Linked DNA regions of Styela clava. The protein of the gene in region 1 binds, or shares a complex with, the protein of each later gene. Links are inferred from orthologs where the notes say so. Each region holds a gene or a part of one and is shown on either strand. Other genes may lie near its edges. The genes, in order: DNA polymerase delta subunit 2-like and DNA polymerase delta catalytic subunit-like.

Region 1 (16,194 bases):
TCTATTTATTGTTATTAGACTCTTGTGTGAATTTCTTTTCTGTTCATAGTATTTCGATAATATTAATAAATTCACAAATTTGCGGCTCTCTTTTAAAGTTCTGACTTGCAGCATGCGACTCTTATACTAAAAAATTTTGCCCACCCCTGCGATATAGAGATGCACTAACTTATTCACGGTCTAATAAAATTGAAACCCCAATGAACTACGGAAAAAATGATAAAAAAATCCAAGTCCTGAAATAGTGCCTGATACGTGCCTACTTATAAACTGTTTGTTTATTACACACACAAATTATGGGGATAAATAAACCTAAGATGATACCTATACTACGTGTCACTGCTGTATTTCTGCATTCAGGCATTTGTTGCATGCTACACACACAAATTATGGGGATAAATAAACCTAAGATGATACCTATACTGTGTGTCACTGCTGTATTTCTGCATTCAGGCATTTGTTGCATGCTTTATTTGCCTTTTTCTTCAGTTCTCCTACAGTCCTGGGGCCCAGAAGCTTGAATTTATATCAAGATCTCAGAGAAATTTAAGAATATCTTTTGTTCATGTATTATCATATTGCAGTATTGTTCAAAGCGTTATCTAAAAATCTGAATTTAACCTTACCTTGGTACAATGGTATAGACAAGTTTAAATTTAGTTATTTCATGTTCCTTATTATTTCTAAAGTTTAAATGTGCAAATAATATGTTTAGGCCTAGAGTGGATTGATTTCGACTTTCAAAATGGAGAGTTTGCTCAAAGCTGAGTTGAATTATTCGTTTGTAAAAAGCACAGGACAGGGTGGAGGGGGATGCATTAGTAGTGGAAACGTCTATGATACAGATAAAGGGAAAATATTTGTGAAAGATAATGCGAAGTCTGGAGCAAAACTTATGTTTGATGGAGAGTATGCTGGACTGAAAGCCATTGCGGAAACAAATACTATCCGTGTTCCAAAGCCATTCAAAGTGATAAAAAGGTCACATGGTGCAATTTTAGTCATGGAATATTTAAATATGCATTCTTTGCATGGTCATGCAAAGGAACTGGGAAGAAAAATGGCAGAATTGCATCTTAGCAATGCAAAAAATGAAAGACTGCAGGAACAAGAAAGTTCCTATGTAGGGAAATTATCATCAAATTTTGTGACAAAATTTGGCTTTGATACGACAACATGTTGTGGGTATTTGCCTCTGGTGAATGAGTGGTGTAATAATTGGGTAAATTTTTATCTTCAAAATCGTTTGAAACCACAACTTGACATGGTGGAACAGAAATATCACGACAGTGAAGCTAGAAAACTGTGGCCAGATGTTGAACATAATTTCCCTAAGTTATTTCCGAGTTCGCTGGAAATCAAACCTGCTTTATTGCACGGTGACTTGTGGGGTGGAAATACAGCAGAACTTGAAAACGAACCTTGTATTTTTGATCCAGGAGCATTCTATGGCCACTCTGAGTTTGATCTAGCAATTTCTCATATGTTTGGTGGTTTTCCGTCATCATTTTTCAGTGAATATCATTCTTTGATTCCTAAAGCTGAAGGGTTTAATGAACGATTAAAAGCATATCAACTTTTTCATTATTTAAATCATTGGAATCATTTTGGTGGGGGATATCGAGAATCTTCATTATCAATTATGAGAAATCTTGCAAAATTGTAATCTACTATGATTTTAATGTTTTCAAAGTGATTTCTCATTTTAATTTTTTGATGTGATACCAGCTTTATAAGCTAACCTTCATCTTTGAGTTATATTCATAAATCTTGATTAAATTGTTGTGCATGTTTTAATATAGAAATTTTTGCCTTTTGCCATGTCTTTTCTTATTTAACTTTACTGTGATTTCTGTTTAATATTGATTTGGATGGGATGGGATTCTGTGCTACTTAAGTATGCTGAATTGTTTTAAGTTGAGTCGACAATTTCAGTATCACCTTTTTTCCAAATTTATTTAAATGTTGATTATTTTGCCTGTGTATCATCCCATAAAAATAATGTTCTAATATTGATAATTTTAAAACAGATATTTTTTCATCATTTATTTCAGAGTGAAAATCTGAAATTTATGAGATACCTACATTTAGACATAATATTGAGTATATGAATATTGAAATCAATTGTATAAAAAAAAAAAATTTTGTTATGGGAATTTATTACGCCGAGATAAAGTTCATTATTAGTTTAATTTTATTTATTTTCGCTAAATTTTCATTCTCCACTTTCTATGCTTACAATTTCAGAAACTAAGTAGTACTTTCAATAAATATCTACATGTCACAATGTTAATTGCTGATCCTGTGAAAGATTTTTATCGAAAGATTCTCCATGAACGAGTTCTCTTACTTGTAGCCTTGGATGTCGATGCACTCGCTGCATGTAAGATTTTACAGGCATTATTCAAATCTGATCATGTGCAATATACATTGGTACCCGTGGAGAATCAAGTCGACGTGGAGAAAGCATTCAATGACCACAAAGATCAATATAATAATGTTATAATGTTGAATTGTGGAGGAAATATCGATCTGTTGGAAATTCTAGAACCTCCAGACGAAGTTACCATTTATGTCATTGACAGTCATAGACCTGTTGATTTGGTAAATTTTTATTGTGAACGACAAGTGTATTTACTTATAAAGCACGAACATGACGAGCTTGCGGCGATTCCAGACTATGATGATCTTTATAAAGAGGAAGATTCAGATGCAGAGAAAGATTCTGGAGCTGAATCTGATGATCCTACGCAACAGAGTTCCAAGAGGAGAAGGTTCGATGAGGATGTTCTTGAAAAAAGAAGAGAGAGGCGTCACTGGGAGGAAAAAAGAAAGGAAATTTTATTTGAATACGAAGAGTTTTCTTATAATGGTACATCTGTTGCCTTGTTGATGTACGAACTCGCGTGGAAAATGTCTAAAGACAACAATGACACCTTGTGGTGGGGAATCATCGGTGTTACGGACCAATTTCAAAACAAAAAAATTGGGCGTGATAAGTATGTTTCTAGCGTTCTCGAACTTCAAGGTCATATGTCAAGGTTGAATCACAGATTTGAGGACGAAGAAAATTCAACTTCTATCAATTGTATGAAAATAAATTTCGAACATGATCTTGACGTTGCACTTTATCGCCATTGGTCATTATTCGAGAGCCTATGTCACTCACCATCAACTGCAACAGTCTTCAAAGTCTGGACAAATAACGGAATGAAACGATTGCATCAATTTCTAGCAGAAATGGGAATTCCTTTAACACAATGTAAACAAAATTATAACTTCATGGATACAAAGGTCAGAGAAAATTTACCTTCTCTAGTTGAGGAGGCTGCTCAAAAATTTGGCCTCACAAACATAAGATACCAATCATTCTCCGCACAGTTTGGATACAATCATAAAATGTGCGCCAGTGATATGGTTTATTCAGTCAGTGCAATTTTAGAAAATGATGAAACGGAAAATGAAGAAACTTGTAATAATTTCGTTGATGCTTTAGATGCATTGTCAAAAATAAACTCTGAATCACTTATAAAAGGCATCAAGTTAGCAAAAGAGCAACTTGAAGCTATGAAAAATCATGTTAGTTCATTTATTGACATTGGACAGGTAATGAGTTACGGACCTTTCCTTTACTCTTATGTTAAAGAAGGTGGACCGGATGTAAAATACTTTAGCCATCCTATATACTTGAATTACTTCACCCACCATCTTTTGCACTCTTATCTGCGATCTCTCGGAAAAACAAAACGCGATAAGGCAAAAAATTTACCGCTTGTCATGTGCGCACCTTTGAATGCTGAGCAGGGATTATCAATACTAATTGGTGTACCACCACTTGCTGAAGATTCACGCAAAAATCTTTTTGGACGAGCTTTTTTACACTCAGCTGAAAGAACAAACTCACAAACTGCTCATGATTATTTTGATCCTTGTATTATGACTTTAAAAACAGAAGATAGGAGTAAATTTTTAGATGCCCTGATTACTATTATGTCCTAGAATCATAATATTGAATTGTTCTTTCTCACATTTTTATGTTCCATAATCTATATTGTTTCTTATAATATGTTCTGTAGGTCTGTGGTATTTGTTTTACTACCCCTATTTTTTCTATGTATTCAATAGTTTCGTATTAGTATTCACTACCCTATCGAAATCATAAAGTCCGATTCGAATATTGGTGAATGACAAGTATTTTTTGAAAGTCTTGTTTTTATGATTTTCTATATCCTCAATTTGAAAACCCTCAGCAGCAGTCTCTGATGCATACAAAACAAATAACAAATTTGCGGGTCTTAACCCACCCCCTAGTCACATGCCTTGGTGAAAATTATGCTTGAAGTAGAATTTCCTGCTCGTTTCTGACTCTGATGAATGTTCACTAAGGTATGCAAACAAATATTGTTTACTAGCATTGAAATGTTTGCACTATGCTTGCTTGCGTGGTGCTATTTCGATAAAAAAATTTGCAATTATTATGTGAATGTGTTTTGTTCAAATATTTTTTGAAATGGAAGATATTTTGAAGCAAGAACTAGACCTTTCATGGATCCACTTCACAGGAGAGACAGGCAGTGGAGAAATATGCACTGGGAAAGCTTACAACACTAATAAAGGAAAAATATTTGTAAAGCATTATGAACGAAGCACTGCAATGGCAACGTTTGAGGGTGAATGTGCTAGCTTACAAACTATTGAGGATACTAAAATTATAAAAGTTCCCAAATATAAAAAGATTGTTCAATTAGACGATGGAAGTGCATTACTGGCATTAGAGTTTCTTAATATGAAGCCGCTCGAGAAACATGCCAAATTAATGGGACAAAAACTAGCAGAGCTACATCTACTTAATGCCAAAAAAATTGCAAAAATGGAGAAAAATGAATCATACGTTGGAAAGTTGGATGATACCGTTGTTGTACAAAACTTTGGATTTGATACTGTCACTTATAATGGCCATTTGAGACAGAAGAATACTTGGTGTAGCGATTGGTTGTCATTTTTCGTTCAACAGAGATTGAAACCCCATATAGACAAGTTAGAAATAAAATACGGGCATTGTGAAGCTTTATCACTTTGGCCAATTGTTGAAAGAAATATTCCTAAGCTTTTTCCTAAAGGATTAAAAATCACACCATCTCTTTTACATGGTGACCTATGGTATGGAAACGCAGGAGAATTAGAAAAGGAGCCCTGTGTTTTTGATCCTATCGCTTTTTATGGACATTCTGAATATGATTTATCTATGCCTCATGTTTTTGGTGGATTTTCTGAACTCTTTTTTGACGAGTATCATAAGTTTCTACCTAAAGCTCAAGATTTTGATAAGAGAGAGAAATTATATTTATTGTTGTTATATCTTAATCATTGGAATCAACTAGGTCCAGTACATGATGGACGTCAATATCGTGAAAATGCACTGAAATATATGAGATATCTTGCTAATCTGTAAATGTTTCTTGATAAAACTTTGTATGAATCCAAATTCATACTTTTCTTTTGTAATACGCATCCCAATTAAGGCAAATTTTAGCTAATGCTCCACCATTCAACATGGAATTTACTGCTTGAATATATGTTCTGAAACCTGAATTGTCAGGGCTTTGAGGGTGATGGAAACTGATCACGATGATCCGCTTTGAGACACGATTAATCAACTGAGATGTCTGTTCCAAATAGGCCTAAGTTTGACATTGCGACAAGACAGCCAGCTACTGATATATATTCGAGGCTTTAATGTTTTTTTGAAATGATCGAAAAATTTATTGTTTTTCTATTGCCTACTCAATTTTTACACTCTAGGCATAGGGTTTGAATTCCAGAATTTCAACTAGGGTGATTAATCGAGCGTAAAATGCTATCAATAGGCTACTGTGCCCAACAAGTTAAGGTGATAAAATAATTATTTCTGTGTCTATACTGTCTTTAAAATTTAATTTATTCCCAGCAAATTTCAATGTGATGAAATATCAGTAATTCTGGAAGCCAATGTAGCAGTTGTTTTACAAAATTTTCTATATTTTCATGTATTTGTGTAATGCATTTATCTAATATTCAACTGTACTCTTTTGCTTAGTGACAATATACATAACAATAATATTCTTCGCAATGCCACCAACAGAAGATGAAGAAACTGCAATGGACACATCTGAGGATACTGAAAAATTTGTGAGGCCAATATGCCTACGTAAAGACTGCTCTGAGCGTTTTCGAAGACGAAATTTGCCTTGCGAAAAACAGTATGCCAACATGTACTTTGTAAGAAGTAACCTCATGAAGAAGAGACTTGAGATTGCGGCTGAAGCTAAGTGGGGTGACGAGTATCCCGTACGGCAATTAGCAAAAGTGAAACTGAATGAAAAATGCTGTGTTATTGGAATTTTGTTCAAGCATATGGATTTACAACCAAGTATTTTGAAAGAGGTCTGTTTTGATTTTTCTCAAAGCAGCGAGTATTTGCTGATGTATAAAGCAGTGCTGCATAGTCGGAGTTTGAATTTTAGACTTACTGGTAATTATAATAGTCGCAGCCAAAATTTGCAACGACACCCAAAAGCACCAAATTCACTTGGCATTCTTAACATACAATTGGAGAAAGTTTGCACATTTCAAAGTTTTTGTGGTCAAAATTTTTTGGTTTTCTTGGAGCTGCAGTCGAAGAATTTTGTCAACCTGAAGTCCGATTGAGTATGACTCATGATTGGAGTCCGAGTTTAGTATAAAATTTCCCAGAAGTCTTGTATAAAATGCAGATCGAAAATTCCCTTTTCTGGAGTATGTCGTATGTGAATATTATGTTATTACCGTAATAACAACAAATTTTATATCCAAAAATTTACTCATTGTAATGCGTTTATCTGATGACATTCCTATAATATTGTAGGCAGTGTGAAAATTACCTCACTCAACAAAGTAATCAATGTTCTCGTTTTTTACTCGTTACAGGTAAGTGAGGAGCACAATTTACAAGTTCAACCTACTCGAGAAAAATTTGTCTCGGAAAATGATAGTTTAATTCTCGAAGACACTTTGCAAAGAATATCGCTCAGTGGAAACATAGACCCACAAACATCATACACTGGAACAGTCGTGGCATTAGCAGGAATCGAAGATAAAGCAGGACAGTTTCGTGTTGATGATTTTACCTTCGCTGGAATTGGGAAACAAGAACCACCACCAAAGTTAGATGAAGATAGGTATGCTAGATTTGAATAGTTTTGGAGTTGCTTTTACCTTCGAATTTTGTTGCACATTCAAAATTCCTTGTCGTTGTCGCATTACTGAATCTTTTGTTCTTTTTGAGCACAGCCACAGAGGAACAAAAAATATTAAAGTAGTGAGATATAAGGGAATTCGATTTATTTTTGGAATTATTAGGAGTGCTCACTGACACATTTTTCACCTGTCCTTGTTGTCACAATTGGTTCAGCCTCAAAAAACTAATTACTAAATTAATCACAATAAATATATTAAACTTATTCGACCAATTGCAAAATCGATGCATATTCAAAACATCCTACTGACTGGTTTCTATTGAATAGTAAGTATCCTGTAAACTTCATTGTTGTTTTCTACACTTTACCCAGGTTTGTTTTACTACTCTCTGGTCTGGGACTTGGAGCTAAGAATGAAAAACTACTTTCAATACAATTAATGATTGATTATATTATTGGTTTACTTGGAGAACCATCAGATCAGAAATCAAGTTCATCCATTGTTCATGTCATTATTGCAGGTTAGTTCTCACAATGTAAAAGCTAGGGTCTTTCTGGATTATGCTATTCTTTTGCGTCATTCCAGGCAATTCACTCAGTGTTGAGACACAGGATAAAGACTCTCAAAAACGTGCAAAGTATTTAACAATTAAGGAGGAAGCTCAGAGTGTTGCTGCAATGCAAACATTGGATGATTTTCTTGTACAACTCTTACCTCAGATCAGTGTGGATGTCATGAGCGGTGGGTCTTTTTGTTGTCCATCGGATTAAATCGAGTTTTAAAAAAACGCTTTTCAAATTTGGAATTTGCAACCTATTTCTTAGATTCTATGAGTAGGGACTTCTCTTTAGAAATCAATATGGCTCCGAGAAGTCATTACTCATAGAATCTAAAAATAGGTTACAAATTCCAGATTTGAAAGTATTTGATTAGAACCTGTAAATTGATGTCGTTTCGCACAATATATGGCTCCAATTCTGTCAATTCTCATCTCCCCAATAATTCTACATTTTGTTGACATCTTTACTCGTGACAGTGCATTTGCTGATACATAAGAAGCTATTTATTTTTGTATTATTACTGCCAGGGTGAGCTGGTGGGCAAGAGATTTGAACATGATTAATCAAAATTACGATACAGTCAGATTGAACCTTCTAACCACCGTGGCATTGCACCAATCATATTTCTGCTTTCATGTGAATCAGTATAAATATTGTTTACCTATTTTACATCAAGTTGTGTAAAGGGACTGAAACCTATGCGCAGGAGGTATATTCACTTGGCTAACACAGACGGTCCTCGAACTAAAATAAGGAAAATCGTAATAAAATTATGACCTAACCTAACCCGGTACACATACTACGGTCTACGGGAGTACAGAATTTTTTTCATCATATACATGTTATAGTTTCAAATTTTTATCATACGCATACTTTTACTATGATGTACATACTTTTCAGGTGAATATGATCCGACAAACTTTATGTTACCACAGCAACCATTACATAGTTGCATGTTTCCAAAATCAGGATCTTATAGAACAAGCACATTTAAGACTGTCACTAACCCTTATGAGTGTGAGATCGAAGAAGTAAAAATTCTTGGTACATCAGGACAAAACATCAAAAACCTTCAGCAATTTGGAAATGAAAGTGACTCAATGAAACTACTGGAACAGACACTATTAAGTGCACATCTTGCACCAACTGCACCTGATTCACTGGGTTGTTTTCCTTATTATGAAAACGACCCCTTTATCATCCCAGAAGACAATTTTCCACATGTTTATTTCGCAGGGAATCAAGAGACTTACGGTGCAAAAACCATCACTGGTAACGATGGTCAGTCAGTTTTGGCGATAAGTGTGCCGAGCTTTGATAAAACTGAGACAGCAGTTTTACTGAATTTACGTACTTTGACTTGCGAACCAATAACGTTTGGAGATTTTTGGGATTCTTCAGAGCCTGAAAAATGATGTGTGGTCAAACATTTTATCCCTTAATGATGAGCTATTTCCCAAAATTAGCGGTCATTCAAGATACTCATTAGTGCAAAGAATCTCAATAAAAACACATTGACTGTTAATTAATCAGAAAAAAATCTGTTGATGTCAAAGACACAGTATGGAACAAAATTTCCTCACATTAATATGAAGTTAGGCTTGTTTCTTTACGACTCTGAATGCCTCAAACTAGTTTGCAGTATTTGGTGAAGGTACATACCTACAATGACAGGTTGTGATGAAAAGTAATTGTAAACTGATTGAATATTCTCAGAATTCCAGTCCCAGCTGTTACACACTTCTATTCACATTATAGAATCTAGATCAGGTTGTTATCAATATCGTCACTAGTTAACATTTATTTATAAATATACCACATGCTTACTACATTCACTGCCAATACATTTTGAAGACTTATGATCTATAGAAGTTTTAGTGAGGCAATTGAATTGGGGCCCCAGAATGAATTGCTTGGATATGTCGAATAACGACCTGCTTTGCCAACTACCACAAATGACTGGACTAGGGTCATATGATATGAAATCTGGTTTACCAATGTGCTTTTCACTTCTAGCTTGTCTGAGAGATATTTGGAAACTAGCCTTCTACGTGAAGAAAAATAGCAAGGTGCGCATTTATCAGGTATTCTATTTCAAGTAACACACCTTCTACCATTTATTTACCTTTACCATTCATCTAACTTATGAATAATGTTACAACTGTCTGATATTCAAGATTTTAATGGTAAGCAATGGCGATAAGTAACAAGATTTGCAAGTACAGCATTTAGCTGTGAATTGTGGGCTATGAAGACCACGATTGCTCAATTTTAATGATTATATTTATTGACATTGTTTTAAAGCCACATGCTATAGAACAGATGAGGAAAAACTGTATATAACTGTCCCTAATGGCGCCGATTCACAGTTGCTCAGTCTAAGACCTAATCTGTTCATCTCGAAAAAGAGATTCGTGATAGTACTGTTTAAAGCCATCTGCAGGGATGGGATTCAAAAGCGGGTTATCTTTTGTACCGAACCCACCACAATAAGGTTCAGAAAATATGTGTCTCGTTATGTAAACTGCATTAACATAACATGCTTTAGAAAACTAATGCATAACTCTGGATGCCAAATTTCACACTAGTTGTCAGATGCGATGTATATAAATCATTTGCTGTGGTTGTCCGACATTTAAAACAAGATGGCGAACCACCTGGATCTCAACAGTTTTGAAATGTGAAAAATAGTGGGTAATTGGCACATTATATTAACCTCAGAACCAGCTACTACTACAGAGGTCCGAGGTCACATTCAATAAAATTGTGAAACGGTTCATAGACAATTTTAAAGTCCTACTTTGAAATTGCACAAGACAAATTGAAAGAAGTGTTTATTTCATTTGAATCACTGTAATAAAAAAGTAAACAAACAATATAGCTGAATAATAGCAAGAAACAAAATTTGATGCTCATACAAACGATGGCATAAGTTTATAAACGACTGCGGTCATATTGCATAAACTGCATATAACAAGACATTTGATTTTCAAGTTAGTGAAAGCAATTATTATGAGCGTTTTTTTTGCACATGAGTGTCTAGGTTAACAACCTAAGTTAAATTTAGAAATTTGCGATCATGATACACTATTGAAGAAATTTTGGTTTTTAGACTAAAGGTCTAAAGCAGGGCTGTGCAAAGTGCGGCCCAAATGCAGCCTGCAAAGGAAAATTGTGCGGCCCGCGGAGGCAACTGGAGAGCAGTTTAAAAAAAATTATTATTAAAAGATACAAAAGCTAACAATTTAGGCGTTTTAACTTATCATTTCTGCAAGGACCCCTAATGATGACATGAGATCAATAACAAAAAGACATCATTTTGTGCCTGCAACTAATAGAAAGCTGTGTTAAATGTAGGTGCGGCCCGCGGTTTCACCCGGTTATTGATATTTGGCCCGCCTGCGAAAAAGGTTGCACACCCCTGGTCTAAAGGATGATCAGTCATCCACACTTGTGGTAGATATCAAAGCACCAGTCATGTCTACCGTAGCATTATACACAGTCAAATCTTCAGCACCCTGGAAATGAAAAGAATTTAGTATGAATCCTGACAAATGGAGAATTATTTCATAGAGCCAGACAGCAGTTTTATGTTATTTTCATGACTTAATCAACTTTCATGAGATCAGAGCATGCGGATCTTCACATAACCAGCTGGTTTGCAGTCATGTCAAGAGTCATGTGTAGATATATTATAGCTTATAATCGAAAAGTAGAATTCAGTCTTTCAACAGCACTCAATCTTACCTAGTGGTGGGATTCAAAATTTTGGAAAAAGCTGTAGTTTTGTATCGTGCCCACTAATAAAACAGGTTGGCTCATTTCATATAATGTATGTGTGCCACTACATAAGCTGCATTAACATGACACACTTTTCGTAAATTTTATATTAACTTTTGAAATGCCAAATATAACTTGTGTTGTCATCTGTGTGTGCGTAAACCATTTGTTGCATTCCTCTAACATTTGAAACAAAAAACAAGCACGGGTTTAATGCAAACTCCCAGACTCTTACCACTGCTCCCTTTTATTGCAGTCCTAATAAAAGAATATATGCATACGAAATGGTTTCTATTTGCTATTTTCACTACTATAATATTTCAGTTCCGATCGAGTTGAGTAAAATGTGGACTTCGACAAATTTTGCAAAATGTAAGCGGCACTCACCTTTATATTTTTTACTAGATCATAGATAAACTCTTTAGTCTGTGGTTCCTTCAATAAAACACACAGAAAACCTCCACCCCCTGCTCCAGCGAGTGTTTGTCCTAAGGAATAAGGTTGCAGGACTTTCATTATCTCTGTACAAGACGCCGGTTCACAACCTGGCGCCATTATTTTCTTTTGCTTCCAGTATTCATTAATGCATTCACCCACTGCTCCAATGTCACCTATAAAAAAAATAATAGAATTTACATATTTATCCAGAGGTGAGGAAAGCCAATAAGGAGACGACTTGATCATATAGTAAACCATTTCCGTCCAAAGCCGTAGCTGACCAGTGGTTACGTGACCAACCTATGGCGACGGTGAATCCAGCAATCCTCACCAAATAATTATCCCCAAAGATTAGAACCTGAGAACCCGTGCAGGGTAATCAGAGGTGGAGAGTGTATTCATACCATGAACAGTGAGAGAAATGAAAAGCATCATTATATAAGGATACATGTCCAACAGTTACATTAAGTGTCCAAACCTGCACGGTGCAATGTTGCTAGATAATGTTGTGTATATGGCTAAATAGCAACCCACTTTCTCCTAAATTCTTCTCTTTTTTTTTAAATTCCCCCGGCTCGCATTTAATAAGTAAACTAACACAAAATAATTGAATCCCTCAATGTTGACAAAAAAGTCACGTTATGGTCATTTATGTGTATAAAAGTAAGCTTCCACATCGATTTGATTAAATGTGCATGCTATATGAAAAATTTCTATGTCATAAACGGTGTTAAAGTGAAGTGTGAATGACTAGACTTTCGTTATGTTAACGTATTTAAAATTCTGCGTAGAACTGTTTTTAGTTAACAAAAGATGATAACTAAGAAAATCAAAATCAACAATATGTGTCAATATATAAGTTGCAATCAAAAATCAACTAAAAACTAGTAAAGAAGCCATTTTGAAACTTAAATTTCAACATCAAAATTTTTTTGAAAGTTTGTAATATTAATTTGAAGACAAATTTCTGAATAGTATTTTTATTACCTTTTAAAAATGATTCCTCACAATTAAGAGCATTGTTGACAAGATTTTTACAATTCTTGATAATTTTTGGAGTTTTAGTATACCAGTTCCGTAGGACATCCTGAAATAACAATTTGTTGCTTGAGATATTAAAAAAAAAAATTAATCAATTATTTCTTATTTACAACAATCATACCAAAACTTCCTATTAATTTAATCAAAATAGGGATACATAAGTCAGACCTTAAAATTTCGCTGTTATGAAGAATATAATCCTGATATTTATCAATTTTAAAAATCAAGTTCTGTATATGCGTCGTTCTATACCACAATGTAGTTAAATGTAGAACAGTCATGTAGAAATGCCGTAGAAATGCCAAATTATACAAGGAATTTAAATTTTTATCTGGAATGCTGAAGTTGAATATTTTGCTTGTATAGGTTGAAAATTACTCTCACATTTATCTCCCTGTACTCGATAAAGTTCTAATATTCCTTATTGCTATTACAATACTTAATTATGCATACACCATAACTCTCCAAATGTTGAAGTGTGACTTTCTCATAACACTAGCTAAGAATTCAATATGGCATGCATTTCAGACAGGCCTAATTTCCACAACCATTCATACTATTATACCCAATACCTGCAACATGTTTCTAGCAAGTCTTGTTTTTCCAGTATATATCAGTTTTAGTCTTTCTTCAAATTTCCCAAGGAAATCTTTACCGACAGCTGATAAAGTAATTAGCTGTAGTCAATAACTAGTAACCTTAATAAAAAATTTGGGTATAAATATAGCAAGCAAATTACAATATGTACAAATTTTCTATTTGAGTCTTAATGACCAGGAATTTAAAAGTAACAAATTATCTATGATACAGAATGCATTCTCAAATATTAATTTCAAACAAGAAATATGTTATGAATTTGATGGACTCAAGGTATATTGTAGTGCAGATAAACGAAAATAGGTTTTATTTTGAATATGTTCAAATTTTTGTATAGTGTCAGAAGTTGTATGAAGTACCATATATTATTCCCAATCATCAGATGTTAAATGCTTAAAATGAAAAATTGAAAAATAAAAAATGTTCATAAATTAAGAACTTACTATATTAAACAAACCAACTTTTATTGTATTCGAATAGCTGTTTCATTTTGGACTATCTGTGATACTATTTTGTAGTAATAGTTAAATACCATTGGGTCTTGCATCACAATTCCTACTACATAGCTGGGCCAGATTTAAACAATTTAAAAAAATTTTTTTTTTTTTAGAAAAGTAAGAAATACACAAGACAAAATGAGTTTATCAGGTCTATTTTCTTTTACATGTTACAGCAATCAATCATCGAATGCAAAAGATTAGATTATTCAAAATGTTCTTTATTTTAGGAGCAACAACCAATTTCATCTACCATATCACCCCAACTGAACATCGGAATAGCCCTAATGGAAGAAGTCAAATGAAGTTGCGAACCGCTAACTGTCAGGCTTTGTTAAAAAATCGCAGGCTTTTAGAGATAGGGTAAAGTAAACTGAAAACCTATCTCACCAATTGGTTTCATTCCTATTTTCAGAGGAAGTTCATTCTCTGAGAAACATCTCTTGATACCACCTACCATTCCTAAAAAGATGAAGTAATGAAACAATTTATCAATTCGGAGATTTTACGATCAAATTACAGTAGATTGCAGACAATCATAATCCTTTGAGCGCTGCCCCTGACTACAACAATATATCAGTAATCGAACATAATTTGTTCGGGATAGGTGTTTGACTACCAATTCGTTACAGTACCAAAACTTTTTCGCCATAAGAAACAATGGTAAATATTTTCTTCACTTCTTCCTTTAAGGTACTCGTTTTTTAGAAGCATGATCAACGGCACGAAAAAGCACTAAATTACAACAATTTCTTAACACATAATATCCAGGTAACGTTTTGACCCAAATTGATGCTTGTTGAATTGTCGAGAGGCAGCCAAGACGTGCGGTTTTTGGTCGACTACCGAGATATCTATGTATGTTCCTTTCACAGGGTAAACATCTTGGATTTGAACCTTTTCACCCACTATCTCATCCCTCATGTAGTGAATTGGATAGGAGGCTCAGTGGTTTTCAACCTTTTTTCTTTCAGAGCCCATTTTTGTTGCACAAAAAATTGTACTTTGGCCCATTTACTTTCTCATGCAAGGGGAGAAATACAGGAAAAACAAGAAATTGTTTTTACAAAGATAGACACTTTGAGTAATTAAAATGAGAATTACCACCCAGAGCCAAAAAGCAGCAGAATCATTTATTTCGATAAAAGTTTGACTAATTTATCAAAAACCCTGGCAGTGTTTCTGTAGCCCAGAAGTGGGCCATGATCTAATGGCTGAGAACCGGTTGTATAGGCAGAGCCGAATTGTAAGTTTCCAGTCCTCTCAAAAATAGTCGTTCATATTATAACAGTTGCTTGTACAGAGCCTGGTTCAAAGCAAAAACGTTTCATAAAAAAATCGAAAAATATTACAACAAATACCTCCGACTTGATCCTGCCAACCTCCACCTGTTGTCATCAATTGTTCAACCATCAATACTGCATGCATGACACAATCTAAATCAGCAACATGGCCTCCAGAATAAAGCAAAACCGTGATAATTGCACCTGTCAGGTAAGAAATAATAACTACTTATGCTGTGAAGTCTGAGGGAAATTTATTATCCCCTGGTTGATTAACATTCAATGTTGAATTGTCACCCAAATCCAGTTTTAAGAAATATTAGAATCCAGCTTTATGAAAGCTGAATTTTGATAGCAAAAGCTTTGGCATATGCAAACCTTCTTCGTCTGTTGAGATCAATTATGGAATGTAAATAAAATTTTACTTTAATTATCACCATAAGAGATCTGAAATTCTGACTCTGACAAATTCAATTTCTGAGTTTGGCTAACTAGAATTAGAACTCGAAAGGAAATTTAAAATTGATTGGTTCATTAGTTGGGCAGAAAAGTTTTTTTTTCCTAACAACAACAAGATTTTAACAAACTTTCCATAGATCCATTTTGTGTCAAATTATACAATCGAATTTGAAACCAACAATGATAAAATCAAGACAGTAAATTTTCATATTTGTAAAATTGATTGAATAATCTTTCTGCACAATATACCTGCAAGAATACTACTTGTTCCGAGTCCGGATCCTCGAGGTAAGTCTGACCAGGTTTGAATTTCTAGTCCTCCGC
Region 2 (15,530 bases), on another chromosome or scaffold:
ATTTTATCCTAGGTTAAGGTTCTGCTGTGAAGTTAACGTGAAGGCCAACATACGAATGGTTAGTGTGGTTTGGAAGTTTTTGTATGGTTTGCGAGAAATTTACCTTGTGTACCGAAAAGAATTCAACACAGGTCTTTCAACTAGCGTTTTGAAGATGAACAACCAATTGATCAATATTTACTAAAATAATAATTTTTTCTCAACAAAAGTGTAGGGTAGTGTTGTTTCTTAATATGTGTAGCGTACCGGCAGTCCATGAAATAATTATCCAAGTCTATGAAGTAATTATCCAGAATATCTTCCAATTTGGTCTGACGTCATGTTTCCTCTCAATAGAGAGAGAGAGAGAGATTTATTGTTTTGTCAACCGTAAACGAACAATGGTATACAAAATAATATATACAATATACACAAAGTTAATTCGGTATAGACTGGGGGGAGCGATACGACCATAAGGTCATCGGAGTCAGCTCCCCCCAAGTTCACTATTAGGATTCACAGTTAAATGTATATAAATAAGAAATAAAATAAAAAAGATACTCATTGGAGAGTTGACCAGAACTCTTACAGAATATTTTTGAGATTAGGCTATAAGATGGTTTGATCAATGGCATTTTCAGCTTTTAGGTCTGGGGTTTGACTCCTAGTAGGTCCATTTCATAACATTTTTTTGTTTTGCATGCAATGTAGGAGACTATCTAATAAATACAATACTTATGTATTAAGCTGGTTGAATATTGTTCGTCACATCAAAAATTTCTACTGAAAGATAGAAGCCAGAACATACCAGTGGATACGGTAACTGCCTGAGGCTTGAAATAAGCGATAATTGGAGTGATATACCGGTAACAGTTAATACATGTATGATTAGGGGAAGATCGAGGACCTTGAAAATTTATCATGAAGCAAATTCTCCAGTCCAGTCTCGGATGATTTCATACTTTGCCAAGATACATTAAATTCAATTGGGCTTCAAATGACAACATGTACAAATCACTTTGTTTGAAATATACATACAGAAAAACTTGGTGCGACAAATGGCAGAAAATTTTCACTATTAAGACATGCAACGGCAAGAACAATATGATACAAAGATGGAAAACTTGATAATGTGACTATTTGATTACAATATTATATTCATAGTGCTTATAATGAAATTGCTTATTATATCATTCTTTATAAATAGTACCTTACAGTTTGCTGAACAAATAATCACTATTAATAAATAAATAAATGCCCTTTATTTCAATCCAGAGTGTATCTGTTGGCATTTATTCCTAATCTAGTAAGGATGAAGGGTACACAGAGAGAAAGAAATGAATTAGATTTCGGAAGGCATACTAAAAAATGTACCTAATTACATGGAGTTCGTGATGTCCAGCGAACTGAATATTCGAAATCGGATCAAAAACGATTCGAATTGTTTTCGGCCAATATTATCTACATAAAGCGGAAATATCCTCACGACCCGATATTTCTCTAGCCTTCATATTGCGATGAAAAAGGGTGTCTCTCCTAATGCCGAGGGTATATATCATGCGTAGTCATGACTGACAAGTTATTATTGGCAGTATATGTTTAGAGAGAGTACATAAGGGAAAAAGAGCAATTTAGTATCCATAGAAAAACGATAGTTCCATCAATGCAAATCAATTCGAACATTTCAAGTCAGTAATCGGGAAGCACACATTGTGGAGGTTTTATGATGGCAATACTTAGTATTAACCATCTATTAACAAGACAAATAACTGCACTCTTGCATTCTGATGGCTGGTACAGTAACAATAGGTTCATCTAGGGATATTATCATCATCAAACTAGCTACATTTTTGAAATTTTTGGGCAACAGTTTTATTTATATTAATGTTTATTAAAAAATTGCACAAATTCAGACTAGTGATAACAGGGTTAAAAGAGTATATACAGGCCACACATGCCCTATTGAAACTGAATATATAAGAATTGAGTAAATAAGGTATTGGGAGTCTCTGTAATTTTCAACTTTCAACACTCATATTTTAGGGAGGCATGTGATTTCCATACTCCATTGATAACTCTGGAAACATAGTTATACAAAATATCATCAGTATCATTTTAAATGTAACAGCATAATACGTTATTACAATATCGAAATAGGATTTTTGGAGGATATTCGTTTCGACAAATTATACGATTCGAATCAAACAATTATTCGATTTTGGACAGCCTCATGGAGTAAAAATAAATAAATAAAAATAAATTAAAAATCTAATGAAACATTTGATATTGCAAATATCAATCCTAGACAGAGTATGGCTAGGTCATTTTAGAGAAAATTGGACATTCAAGAAGATTTCAATCTTGTTATTTTCAACATGTAAATATAATAATGTAGCTATGCAAGCAATGCAATAATCGAATGATGTATAAAATCTGATTGAATAATTTTGGAGTAAACTTTTCGAATAAATCTCATTTATAGAAATGCAATTTTAAAGAGAAACAGTACAACAGTCAATAAACATTTAAGATAATTTTACAAAAGATTGTAAACATATAAGTCTATAGGAAAACAAAAATAATTAAAGTAAGCATCGTATTTAAGTCTTGGCATAGTAAATAATATATTAAAGTCGGTACTACACATTGCAGGGCATACAGATGCTGAAGTCATCAATAGTTTAAGGTATTGACTATTGATCCAAGGTTACGATTAATCATAGGGATGTTAGAACTGCTCCTGTTACTATTGGCTCAGTCCTACAAAAAGTTTTGAAATACGCAGTGTCAATACTAGCAGCATATGCAGACACATTACCAATCAAATAGATTAATGGATGATGATCGAATAAAACAGCATTTCAGAATATGATATATTAAAAGCATGGTGTTTGGGGTTGCACACAGTGTAATTGTAATTATAATATGAATATATATGAACAAAATGCATTGATTCATAGATTAAATTTAAGGTTAGGACATAGTGATATCATGACAAATGCACACTATAGGAAATAGTACACAAAGCATATGATTTCAGTTGACCACGTTGCAGAATCATCCTATTTTTGGCAGAAGTAAAGTGAATACGGTAAAGATATAGATATATACATGTATAGCTCAGATATAATTCTACTAATGGTTTGTAAAGATTGGGAGAAGCAGACCAAACACAAGAACAATAGTAAATATATTTGTTCCTGGATCTTGAAATAATGTATAGTGAAAAATAAGTTGATCTAGATGTTATACTGTACACGGTGTAAAAAGTAGGGTCATGAATAAATAGTTTAACCTTGGTCAAAAAATGTGAATGCACAAAATGGGGGTGAAATTGTTATTATTGAAAATGACTTTCAGGAAACTTAATTATAGAATATGCAATGTTAACACAAACAGTATAAGCAGATACATAGTATTCCTAATCACATAAATTCAGGATTGCACACAGTATACAATTATGATTACAATTATGATGAACACTGTTCATTGAAATGTTTACATTTCAAGGTTAGAGCTTTATGGCCATTTTAACAAATGCAAGCTATAGGTAATTATCAGTTGTAGGTAATACTACATCATGTTTTGCCAATAGTTAAAGAAAATAAAATGAAAAAACAAATAGTTATGCAAGCACATGTAAATTACAGGATTTAATACCAAAAAGACATGGTAATCAATAAAAACAGTTATATAAACTCCCTACCATATAAGTCCAAGATCAACCAATCAAATCCAACGGTGTGTGGGACAGCATACAAGCGGTTGGTTGGATGATTAGGGTATTAACTTTTGGGGAACTTTATGACGCAGTTATTAATAAATGTCTGATATTAATATTTATCGATGAGATGTTTCATATATTTATACTTAAAACTATTGTATGATGATTCTTTGATATTGTCAGGAATACTGTTCCAAATACATGGACCAGTGAATTTTATGGATCTCTGAGCCAAATTTGAGCTTGTTCTATTAACAAAATAGGCTCCTCTACCAGCCGACCGAGTATTATGTCCATGGATATCACTAGAGTTTGTGAAGTAGTTTTCAAATGCATCCGGCAAAATACCCCATTTAGATCGAAACATAAATTTCGCAACTTCAAATTTATATACATCCGCAAGTTTGAGAATACTCATCTGTCTGTATATAGGATCTAAGCTTTCACGCATACGTGCGCCACTCATTAATCTTAGGGCACGATTTTGAAGTACACAAATCCTATTGAGATAAGTTTTACAAGCAGAGCCCCATGCCACAATTCCATATTGTAAATGGGAATAGAAGAGTGAAAAATACACAGTTTTTAAAACTTTTTTTGGTACAAATTTTTTTAATTTAGTCATGGCCCCAATTGCCCTTGAAAGCCGACCAGCTAGTTGGTTGATATGTGCTTGCCAATCAAGTTTTTTATCCAGGATGACTCCAAGGTATTTTACACAATCATGGTTAGTCAATTCAAAATCGTTTAGAGTGAACTTAGGGTTGTAATTGGAATTTTTAAGCTTTTTGAAACAATTAATTAGTAAGACTTGCGTCTTGTTGGGATTAACGGTGAGTTTGTTGTGAGTGAGCCAATCAGAAATATTATGAAGTTCAACATTAACTTTTAGTTCCAAGTCGGACAGATTCCTTGTAGCAGAGGTGGAACTGGTGTCATCCGCAAAAAGTTTGATCGAAGCATTAGTGGCATGGACAATATCATTGATATGGAGCAAAAAAAGGGTCGGGCCGAGTACAGATCCCTGGGGAACTCCTACAGTCACATTTGCTTTCAGTGATTCAGTACCAGATATGTTCACAAATTGACTTCTATTTTCCAAATAGCTAGCAAACAACTTGTTTACAACACCGCGAATTTCATAATGACTTAATTTACGAATTAAAATTTTGTTTCACTTCAATTTATGTTATTTTGTTCTATTTATTAATTATCCTCCAATGAAACGGTTAATACAACCAAACACCCCAAAGAAACGGAAAGCACACATCAAAAACAACAATACCAGGCAGTAAAATGTAAGAAAGCAATATACACCATAAAAACACTAAACTAGCTACTTACAATTTGCAAAATAGGCTGAAAATAACTTATGACAGGCATTTTAAAAGACTATATACAATTCTATGTGTGCACAACATTTGAACAGTACAGATGATAGCTAATACCATGACAAAAATGAAACAACAACACTAAATGAACTGCAATGGCACTACACGCAAACAGCAACAGGGTCCCAACATTAGCTCTCCGTCCAGCACAAAAACATCCAACCAACCCTAATCCAACAGTCACAAAACCACAAACAAACATCCCCGATAACCCACCGGATATCAGAGGCACTTCCACAGACACAAAACACCCAAAATCCAGCCACACTCAGACAACTGCACCCTGCCAACCACAGCACACGCTAACAGGCCACATCCAGAAGACTGATCGACAGTGTCACATCGCCCCCAGTGTCTTCAATGCCAATGCCAATTCTTCCTATACTTTACCATTGCAAAATTTTCGGGGCTATTTTAAGAGTGCTTTTGCGAGTTGGCGCCTGTAAAATGGGGTATGTGTTACAAACCATCATTATGATTCATGGCATACAACAATCTTTTTTTTAAAAGTACCGGTAAAAAATTTCAGGCTAGTCTATCACAGCTATTTCTACACTAATTTTTATTAGTGCAATCAAATTAAAACTCCTAGGAAGACAGAGTGATCATTGAATTATTTGATTTATATTTAAGTTTCCGAGACACAACTGAAAATTAACGAATAGAGTTCAAAAACGCGAAAACGAGGTAATGTTTACAACCACACTTGAAAATCTGTCTGAGTGAGAAAAGTGTCTGAGCGGATGCGAAAAGGGGGCATTGTTACGTCACTTTTTGCATCTTGCTGATTAGCCAATGTCACGAAGTAAACAAGGAAAACGATGCTCGGGGAAAGGTATACCATACTTATATATCTTTGATATGACATTCGGTACAATTCTTCAAACGTTCGGGTGAAATTTTTCTGGCAAAGGCGGGAAATCCTTGGAATTTGTATTACAGCATTCTGGATCTGGCACTGGGCAAAGTGACTATAACACTTTGGCACTGGGGAAAGAAGCGAACGCAGTTTTTCATTCAGTCATTGCATGTGCTATATCTGATATCGTTACGTACCAGTAACGTATCTTTCAACCGGGGCCTTACTACTGTACCTGCGTAATGTACCGGTACCGCCAAACGCAGCAAACTGCACGAAGCAGAAGAATACGTTCCTGCTGTCCTGGGAACAGTGCAAAGGCGAGTGGAAGTGGTGACTCTTCTACGGCCCATGGGCCGGAACCACGGCCCATCGAAATGGGCCTCGGCCCATCAAGTTGTGTAAAGGGACAAAATAATAAAGACTAATAAATATGGGGTCTGGTATAGTTTAGTACCACATGTACTTCTAGTTGACCTGGCTCAACAATTTTTGCATATGTCAATCCTAACCCCCACCTGACCACGTCACCGAAAAATTACATCATTTCGACGTCACAGTGGCGTAATAAGGCCCACCGAAGTATGCGGATGCTCGTCCAAAACGCACAGACGATCACCCGAAATCGAGCAAGCAATTTCTCTCGTTTTCTCGTCACAACGATCACTATAGGAGAGAGATCGCCGGCTTTAGCAAGTTCGTTATCAGCGGCGCAGATGTCATTTCGGGCGATCGTAATTATACTTTGGCAATCCCCATGGCGTGATGGTGACGTCGTAGTGACGTAATTTTTGGATGGCATAGTCAGGTGGGGGTTAGGAATAGCATATGCAAAATTCGTTATGCTACGCCCACCGGAAGTACTTGTCGTACTAAATTATACTAGACCCTAAATATGTAAATCCTACCCACTCCCCGAACTTATAATAGAACTACATTGTGAAAAATCTGAACAAAATTTTGTCCTAACCCTAACCTGGTACACATACTTCAGGTGTATCTTTTTCTGTAGCTTGGTATTTTGCTTTATTTTTATGTAAAGGCTTATCGTAAGAAAAGGTTTGGTGGCATCCCACGATTTTTTTTGGTTTGAATATTGACAATTTTATAAAAATTGAAAATTTTGGTGAGATAATGGATTTTTTTCTGATGGGCGCGGCCCATAGCTTGATGGGCCAGGGCCCATGTGGCCCAATTAGATGGGCCGTGGCCCCGGCCCATGGGCCTTAGAAGAGTCACCACCCCTGTAACGACAGGCAGACAGGAAACAGCACGAAACATACGGTAAAACAGTAAAAAGCTTAATATGTAATGTTTTTCAATTATATCTGTATATACAGATATATGTGTACCGTATGTTAGTACAGTCTGATAGTACTGTAGGGATACGATAAGGGTACTGTAAATACTGATATATGTATAACGTATATTGATGTAAAGATGTATCATGATTTAATTCCCCTAAATCCAGTACAGCACGCTATCCAAATTCCAAGAATTCCCCTCCATTTGGCTCAATAAAACAAACACTCTATGTGTCTCACAAACGAGGGGCGTCTGGGACCACGTCAGATGCTTCATATCGCGCCATGATTGTCTTAATAATAATCTAAATTAATCGCGGCTGTCACGTCCCCAAAATTGCCGTTTTTTGCTAAGAACTCTCAAATGCCACAGTAAAAAAAATTTTTCTTTGGTAAATCGGATTATTTTTTCCCAAGGAATTCAATGATGACGTTATTAGATTGCGCTTTTCTATAGTATTTTGCGCAACTCCATTATACTGTATTATTACCGATATTGAGGAACAACAGTGTCCATCAGTCCATAGAATCAAATCTTGGAATCCTGACTTTATAATCCAACCCAGAGAGTTACTCAATCAAGTAGAATTTATTTTGATTCCTTCTGTTCTAAAATATTATCAAGGTATTGCCATAATAATATGTAATTAGGACTGGGCAAAATATTCGTATAGCGAATCGAATATTAAATTATTCGAATGGCATTTTACTATTTGAATATCCAGTACCACTTTGCTTGGACACGGAACTCGCGCCTCTCGAAATCGATCGTGAATCGCGCCAGAATTCACCTACAACGCTCGATTGTTGAAATGTCTTGTCTGAAAGTTACTATGTACTTGAAAATTTTAATAACAAAATCTAAAATTTTACTCTTTTTCTGTATCGGTGGAGCCTCTCAAACTGTTTTTCAATGTCAGAATGTCTTGTTATAATTATAAATTATGGTATATGCTTTTATTCTCGTGTTAGTCTTCAGCTTTTTAAATATATGTATTTTATGGGTTTAAACTTGCCACTTTGTTTGTAGAATGACAAAATTATTCTAAAGGTAATTTAATTTTTACACAGTTATGGATAAGAGAAAGCCAAACAATGATGGTAGCTCTACCTCCAATGGCAAAAAGATCAAGATGTCAGACATTGCCACACAGAACAACTGGGGAAGACCAACATTACCAACAATAGATCCAAACACTTACAACATACAAATTCAACAATTGGACTTAGATACATATTTGTCCCAAGAGCCTGTGGCGGGTATATATGATATTCCATATGGATGTGCTCCAGTGGTTCGCATGTACGGCATAACTGAAAATGAACACTCTGTATTATGTCATGTACATGGGTTTCTGCCATATTTTTATATTCAAGCCATGAAAGGTTTCAACCCAAATGACTGTGACGAATTCTGTGAATGTCTCAACGATGTTGTTTTACGTGACATGAAAGGAAATAAAGAAGTCAAAGTGGCTGTAGCAAAAGTTGAATACTGCATGAAGCAAAATATGTATGGTTATAACAGCCTGGGAAAAGTCCCATTTCTCAAAGTCACAGTTGCAGTTCCACGACTTGTTGCCACCACACGAAGGATTCTGAGAGAAGGTTTCAAAACTAAAAAATACCCAACTCACAATTATCAATCATTTGAGAGCAATATTGATTTTGAAATTCGTTTTATGGTTGATACAAAAGTGGTTGGTTGCAATTGGGTAGAAATTCCAGCAGGAAAGTATAAGGTGCGATCTGGATCAAACTGTGTTTCACAGGCTCAACTTGAAGTTGATATAAAATGGACAGATCTCATCAGTCATGAACCGGAAGGCGAATGGCAAAAAATTGGGCCATTGAGGGTGCTGAGTTTTGACATTGAATGTGCAGGTAGAAAAGGCATTTTCCCAGAGCCTGAAATTGATCCTGTCATTCAAATTGCTTCAATGGTGAAACGAGAAGGAGAAAAAGAACCGTTCGTTAGAACAATATTCACTTTGAAGAGCTGTGCTTCTATTGTTGGCTCACAGGTTTTTTCCTTTGACTCAGAATCTGAACTGTTACTGGCATGGGTGAATTTTTTGAAAGAGGTTGATCCCGATATCATCACTGGTTATAACATAGAAAACTTTGATCTTCCATACCTGATCAACCGTTCGCAAGCACTGAAAGTAAAGGAGTTTGCCTATTTTGGACGAATAAAAAATGTTCAATCAAAAGTGAGGGAAACAAGATTCCAGTCAAAGCAAATGGGAAGCAGAGAAACAAAACATGTCAATATTGAAGGCAGAGTGCAGTTTGATGTATTTGTCGCTCTTTTGCGAGAACAAAAGTTGCGTTCTTATAGTTTAAATGCAGTGAGTTTTCATTTTCTTGGTGAACAAAAGGAAGATGTCCACCATTCCATCATAACAGAGTTGCAGGAGGGAAATGAACAAACAAGAAGACGACTAGCTGTATATTGCTTAAAGGATGCTTTACTTCCTTTACGTCTTCTTGATAAACTGATGCTTATCATTAATTATATTGAAATGTCCAGGGTGACTGGGGTGCCAATGACATATCTGCTTACTAGAGGTCAAAGTATCAAGGTTATGTCACAATTGTTGCGAAAGACATCGGTGGAGGATTTGTTAATGCCAGTAATGGAGAGCAGTGGAAGTGACGAGCAGTATACAGGTGCCACTGTTATAGAGCCTGTTAAAGGTTACTATAATATTCCTATAACAACTCTCGATTTCTCCTCGTTGTACCCCTCAATTATGCAGGCTCACAATTTGTGCTACACCACTTTGTTGAAAAACAGTAAGGAAAAGGAGAAATTGCAGCCAGAAGATTACATCACTACTCCTACGGGTGATACATTTGTGAAAGCATCTGTTAGAAAAGGATTGCTCCCAAAAATCTTGGATAGTTTGCTCACAGCCCGTCGTAAAGCTAAGGCTGACATGAAAGTGGAAACAGATCCATTTAAACGAAGTGTGCTGGATGGTCGTCAATTAGCCTTGAAAATTAGCTGTAATTCGGTGTATGGTTTTACAGGTGCTCAGGTTGGAAAGTTGCCATGTTTAGAGATATCAAGCAGTGTCACCGGCTTTGGTCGAATGATGATTGATCAGACAAAACATCATGTTGAGAAGAAATATACAATTGATAATGGTTATTTTGCCAATGCTTCAGTTGTGTATGGAGACACAGATTCAGTAATGATTAAATTTGGGGTAAAAACTGTTGCAGAAAGCATGGAACTGGGCCGTGAAGCTGCTGGATTTGTCTCTGATCAGTTTCCTTACCCAATTAAACTGGAATTTGAAAAGGTGTATTTTCCATATCTATTGATTAACAAAAAAAGATATGCAGGATTGTACTTCTCTACTAGTGCTGAAGTTCATGATAAAATGGATTGCAAAGGTATTGAAACCGTTCGTCGGGATAATGCGCCTCTCACTGCCAATCTGATCAACAGTTGCCTGCAGAAGCTTTTGATAGATAGAGACCCTGATTCTGCAGTTGCATTTGCAAAACAAACCATTTCTGATTTGTTGTGCAATAGAATCGATATTTCTCAGCTAATCATAACAAAAGAGTTGACAAAAACAAAAGAACAATATGCTGCAAAACAGGCTCATGTTGAACTAGCTGAACGAATGCGTAAACGAGATGCTGGCAGTGCACCGCAACTAGGTGATAGAGTTCCTTACGTTATCATCTGCGGTGCCAAGGGTCAAGCGGCATACTTAAAATCAGAAGATCCCATTTATGTGCTCGAAAATAACATCCCTATCGATACAGAGCATTACTTGAAACATCAATTATCTCAACCCCTCCTTCGTATCTTTGAGCCTGTTTTGGGTGAAGGAAAAGCGGAGTCAGTTTTGTTAAAGGGAGATCACACTCGTGTGCGCAAAGTTGTTACCTCAAAAGTTGGTGGCTTGATGGCTTTTGCCAAAAAGCGAGAGACTTGCATTGGATGCAAATCGTTGCTCAAACACTCTGGTGCTGTTTGTGATCACTGCGAAGAACGGGAATCTGAGATCTACCAAAAGGAAATTCTAAAATTGTCATCTTTTGAAGAAAAATATTCCAGACTGTGGACTCAATGTCAGCGTTGTCAAGGTTCACTTCATGAAGAGGTTTTGTGCACAAGCAGGGATTGCCCAATATTTTACATGAGAAAAAAAATTCAAATGAATTTGGAATCTCAACGAAAAGTGGTAATGCGATTTGGTGATTGGTAAATTCTGTTTTATCATGATATATTCCAAGATTTATGTTACACAATTTTTGCGTAAATCATGATTCATGATATCATTGTTGACGTGTTAAATGTAACAGGAAAACTGACTTTTTGAATATTAAAGTGTAACATTGATTTTCTTTAATACAATTCCTTTGGTCGCTGGGTCAGTTTTGCCGGATTTCTTGTAATATAGAAAATTTGATGTAATGTGGGAATAATGACATTAATAGTTTTTTTTCTGTTTTTTGGGGGGTTTGCTTACGTCTTCATAGACAGTTGACATAAGCAGGTTTAATTAATATCTGCTATAATGAGTGTATTGTTGAAAAATAAAAAATTGTGATATCATTTCCATTTATCATGTTAAGGAGTAAAATTTAGACAGATAAATACGCCTTGGAGGGGGTTTGGGTGAAAGGTTAAAAGCTGCTCTAGGGCTATTTTGAACCTTTTGTTAATAGTAAGTTTTATCTGAACATCTGTGAATTAGAGATATATCGGCCAGATTTTCGGTATCAGCTAAATTTAGACCGATATTTACGATATATTTAGCTTCTCAGTATGATCCAGATTTCTTTTAAAATAGGTTAGAATACTGATCTTGAAATTATTTTTGTTTGGATGAATGGTGAACTAAGAACCGTGCACGTCCCCACCCCCGCTAGTAGAAACGGGAATCGGATTTTGACTTGTTTTTAGCCACTTATCAGCCAAACTGGCTCAAATCAATTTGAGTAATTTCGCTGCCAAATTTTTAGATTAAAATTTTTAATATTACATGGTAATAATAAAAAAATTTATCAATCGAATATTAGTGGATGTTCCGATGTGTAAAATATAAAATACGGCGTTATATTGGCACAAAATCCTGCGCACGTAACACAACGTATGAGTTTCATACGATAAGTAGGCTAAACATATATTTATTTTACCATCAACGGTAGTCAAATCCTATTAGTTTTTTAATTGAACATCGAGATTACCAGCGACAGTGCTCAATGCATCTGAAACGCATTTCGATCTCAAACATCTACTTCTTAACACATATATATATACATATATGTGTGTGATATTTCTCTTTTTTGATCCGAAATAATGCTCAAAGACTCTTATTTTAAACCGTCTGTCCTGTACACTTGAGGTAATAATTACATAGTATCGGTTGTTTTCGAATCGGCATCGGCGACAAAAGTGGTATCGGTACATCTCTACTGTGAATAGTCTCTGTTGTCCCAGACAAAGAACAACCCTGACATGATGACATTTTTGTATTCTGGTGTTCTTGTTTGTGGTCAGATCCATATTTAAATACGTTTTTCCTGGTACAAGCAATTCGTGTACTGGACTTCAAAGTGGCAATACATGATCTCTGTTGCACCAGGACAAATGAGGCTTGAAATAGAACCGAAATACGGTACTCTAGCTCAGGACTACTCAACTTGCGGTCCGAATCTTAGACCTTTCGAGTGCTAAATTTGGACCGCAGCTACTTCTTGACTTTGAACGCATTGTTTCTTTTTATTTCACAATCGTTATGTAATGCATTTTTCGCTAAACGACTATGAAAAACCGTCATTGTAATAAAAGTTTCTCAGAGCATCGACTCACTTTTGTGATTGATCAAGAAGATATTAATTCCGGCGCAACTACTGCCATGAAGTTTTAGTGACTTCTTGTATACATTTTTCGCAAATTCTTAGACATGGCAGTGAACGTTAGCTTGTTTTTGTAGCTTATAAATATTCCATGTATATATTTCACACGCTCGGCTTCACAACTGAAGCCTTACGGACACCGAAGCGTGATATTAAGCCTTGCTATTGTGTTTTGTCAAACTATGCATTTGTAATTTTGTTCCATAGCTAAAAAAATATTCTTGGAACGACCGGACCCCGGTAATTTTTAAATTTTGTATACAGACCTTTGATGAAAATAGTTGAGTAGCCATGCTCTAGCTATTTAGAAAATGTTAGAATGTTCGCATTTATATTAGGTGTGAAATTTCGACCCCGGAAAGATCCACACTGCGTTCAGTTGCCCAAAAGTATTGTTAGGCTCCGAGCTCCATCGGCCACAGCGATAATATTCCTCAGTTAAATGGAGTGGAATTTGGTTGTTCCATTATTATGTATCGACGAAACTGGTGGTAAAACTAAAATGCGTAACCTTAGAATGAAACCTTGTTTTCAAGCTGCCAGATCGCCAAGAATATTGGTATTTTTGTGACATAGTAACCGCCTTGCTTATATAAAATGTCAGATTTTATCTTACTTACTTATCAATAATTACTTATCAATGTGTAAAATGTTGACAAAAGCTAACCCGAACGTACGGAATATCGTGGTTTTTCGGCTCGGCGGAGTGGCGCATCGTTCTAAGCGTTAGGAATACGCTTGCCACCGCATCTCTGATTATTTGCGTGGGTTCGCAGGTTCGAATCCCATGCGGGGATGATTATGTGTGAGAGGATTGCTGGACTCCTCGCCGCCGTAGGGTAGCTCACATAACCGCTGGTCGGTAATGGCTTCCTCCACCATCAAGTCCATGCTTCCGAAAACGAATAACTGGCTAACTAATCCTATACCCGACCTGGACTGGTAACCGGCCGTGGTTCGCTATATGATTAAGCCATATTATCGGATTTCCTCTCCCCCGGGATAAATATGTAAATCCTATCCTAAGTGTGCAATGTTACTACCTGGAAAATATTTAGCGATGGGGGACAGTTTGGTGAAGTCGATGCCTAAAGTGCGACATTTATTAAAACGATATAATTATGTTTTCTTTATGTATTGATTGCATATGTGCGTGTCGGATCGGTACCGCTGGTCAAATTATGCAAATATGATGACCAAAGCCAGAAGACCAGCCAGAGAAGTCGTGTTTTTCGATACGTGATCATCAACGCGCGACATGATCGTACGTAGCCTACGTACTATTTCCTTTATCAATACCTTTTCATCTGAAATCTGTACGTTTCAAACCATACTGGAGGTTTTGTTTGCTTTCCCGATTCTATAATCAGTTTTATTTATTTTGTTTTTATTATTATTTTGTTTGTTTTATCAATTACTTTATCGTCTATGCTGAATATGGAGTCGAAATATACTTATGATCCGCGTGCGGTTAAGTAGAATCTGTTTAAAATTAAGTGCGATTGCAAACCATTTTCACCAATCCAATCTGTTTGCCACTTTCATTAGACCAGCGTTTCCCAACCTTTATTGGCCGCGGACTATTTTTTCACCATGGAAAATCTTCGCGGACTCAAGATGCGTTAATTGTGTAACCGAACTCTGCATGAAGAAGCTATAGAACCAAAAACAACAGAATTTTAACGAAGTCAGTTTATTATCCACAATTACAAATTTAAATGGGAATCATAGCGTGCTCCAGTGGCGGCGCGTGGTCATTTTGACAACCGGGGCAAGCTACTGCGGGACCAAGTCACCCCCATCTACGGGGACAGGATGAGCGCTGTAAGTTCTCCCATCATTTTATGAGTATAAAAACCATTCCATCGGTAACAACCAATCGGCAAAAGCGACAATTTTTAACGATAAGAAAGTGTCTTTAAAACCGGTCCAAGTCAAGGGATTAATAAATATAGACATAGTTTATTTTGAAACCTTTTTCAAAAGGAAAGATACAATGACATATTAACAGAAACTTCGGGAAAGCAGACAAAACCTAAAATAAGGTTTAAAACGTTACTATGAAGAAAGGAAAGGTAATGCAAAGATAAGGACATGCGTCGCTCACTCATAGATATATATGCTGCTAGACTTCTACTGCTTGAACATATATGCAACACGCCGCGGTTTCTTGGAAGCAAAATGCTCAATAACGCGCTGATTAAAGTCATGCATACCAGAAATAACGTCTCTGTGAATGGATAAAACAGCCAAGGAATTTAATCTATCTTGCTTCATTGTGTTTCTGAGATACGTTTTAATACGCTTCAGCGTGCTGAATGTTCGCTCTGCGTCGGCGGAAGAAATAGGCGTCGTCAAAATGATGTCCAGAAATTTTGCAGACG

Evidence for each region.
Region 2: DNA polymerase delta subunit 2-like (region 1) and DNA polymerase delta catalytic subunit-like share a complex: the UniProt entries of both Homo sapiens proteins name them as parts of the tetrameric DNA polymerase delta complex. The link is inferred for Styela clava from reciprocal best matches to the Homo sapiens genes POLD2 and POLD1.

The regions. Positions count from the first base shown.
Region 1 is NC_135259.1:14,441,127-14,457,320, reverse strand, and holds DNA polymerase delta subunit 2-like, read left to right. Parts: upstream 1-6,106; 5' UTR 6,107-6,108; coding exon 6,109-6,423; intron 6,424-6,945; coding exon 6,946-7,196; intron 7,197-7,586; coding exon 7,587-7,735; intron 7,736-7,800; coding exon 7,801-7,956; intron 7,957-8,675; coding exon 8,676-9,190; 3' UTR 9,191-9,637; downstream 9,638-16,194. Other genes in the region: ketosamine-3-kinase-like, read left to right, coding at 746-1,666; cell division control protein 45 homolog, read left to right, coding at 2,287-3,999; L-fucose kinase-like, read right to left, coding at 11,213-11,293, 11,943-12,166, 12,981-13,080, 13,607-13,695, 14,519-14,590, 15,490-15,615, 16,120-16,194. UniProt on the Homo sapiens protein: Accessory component of both the DNA polymerase delta complex and the DNA polymerase zeta complex.
Region 2 is NC_135250.1:14,614,648-14,630,177, reverse strand, and holds DNA polymerase delta catalytic subunit-like, read left to right. Parts: upstream 1-8,011; 5' UTR 8,012-8,330; coding exon 8,331-11,489; 3' UTR 11,490-11,841; downstream 11,842-15,530. UniProt on the Homo sapiens protein: As the catalytic component of the trimeric (Pol-delta3 complex) and tetrameric DNA polymerase delta complexes (Pol-delta4 complex), plays a crucial role in high fidelity genome replication, including in lagging strand synthesis, and repair.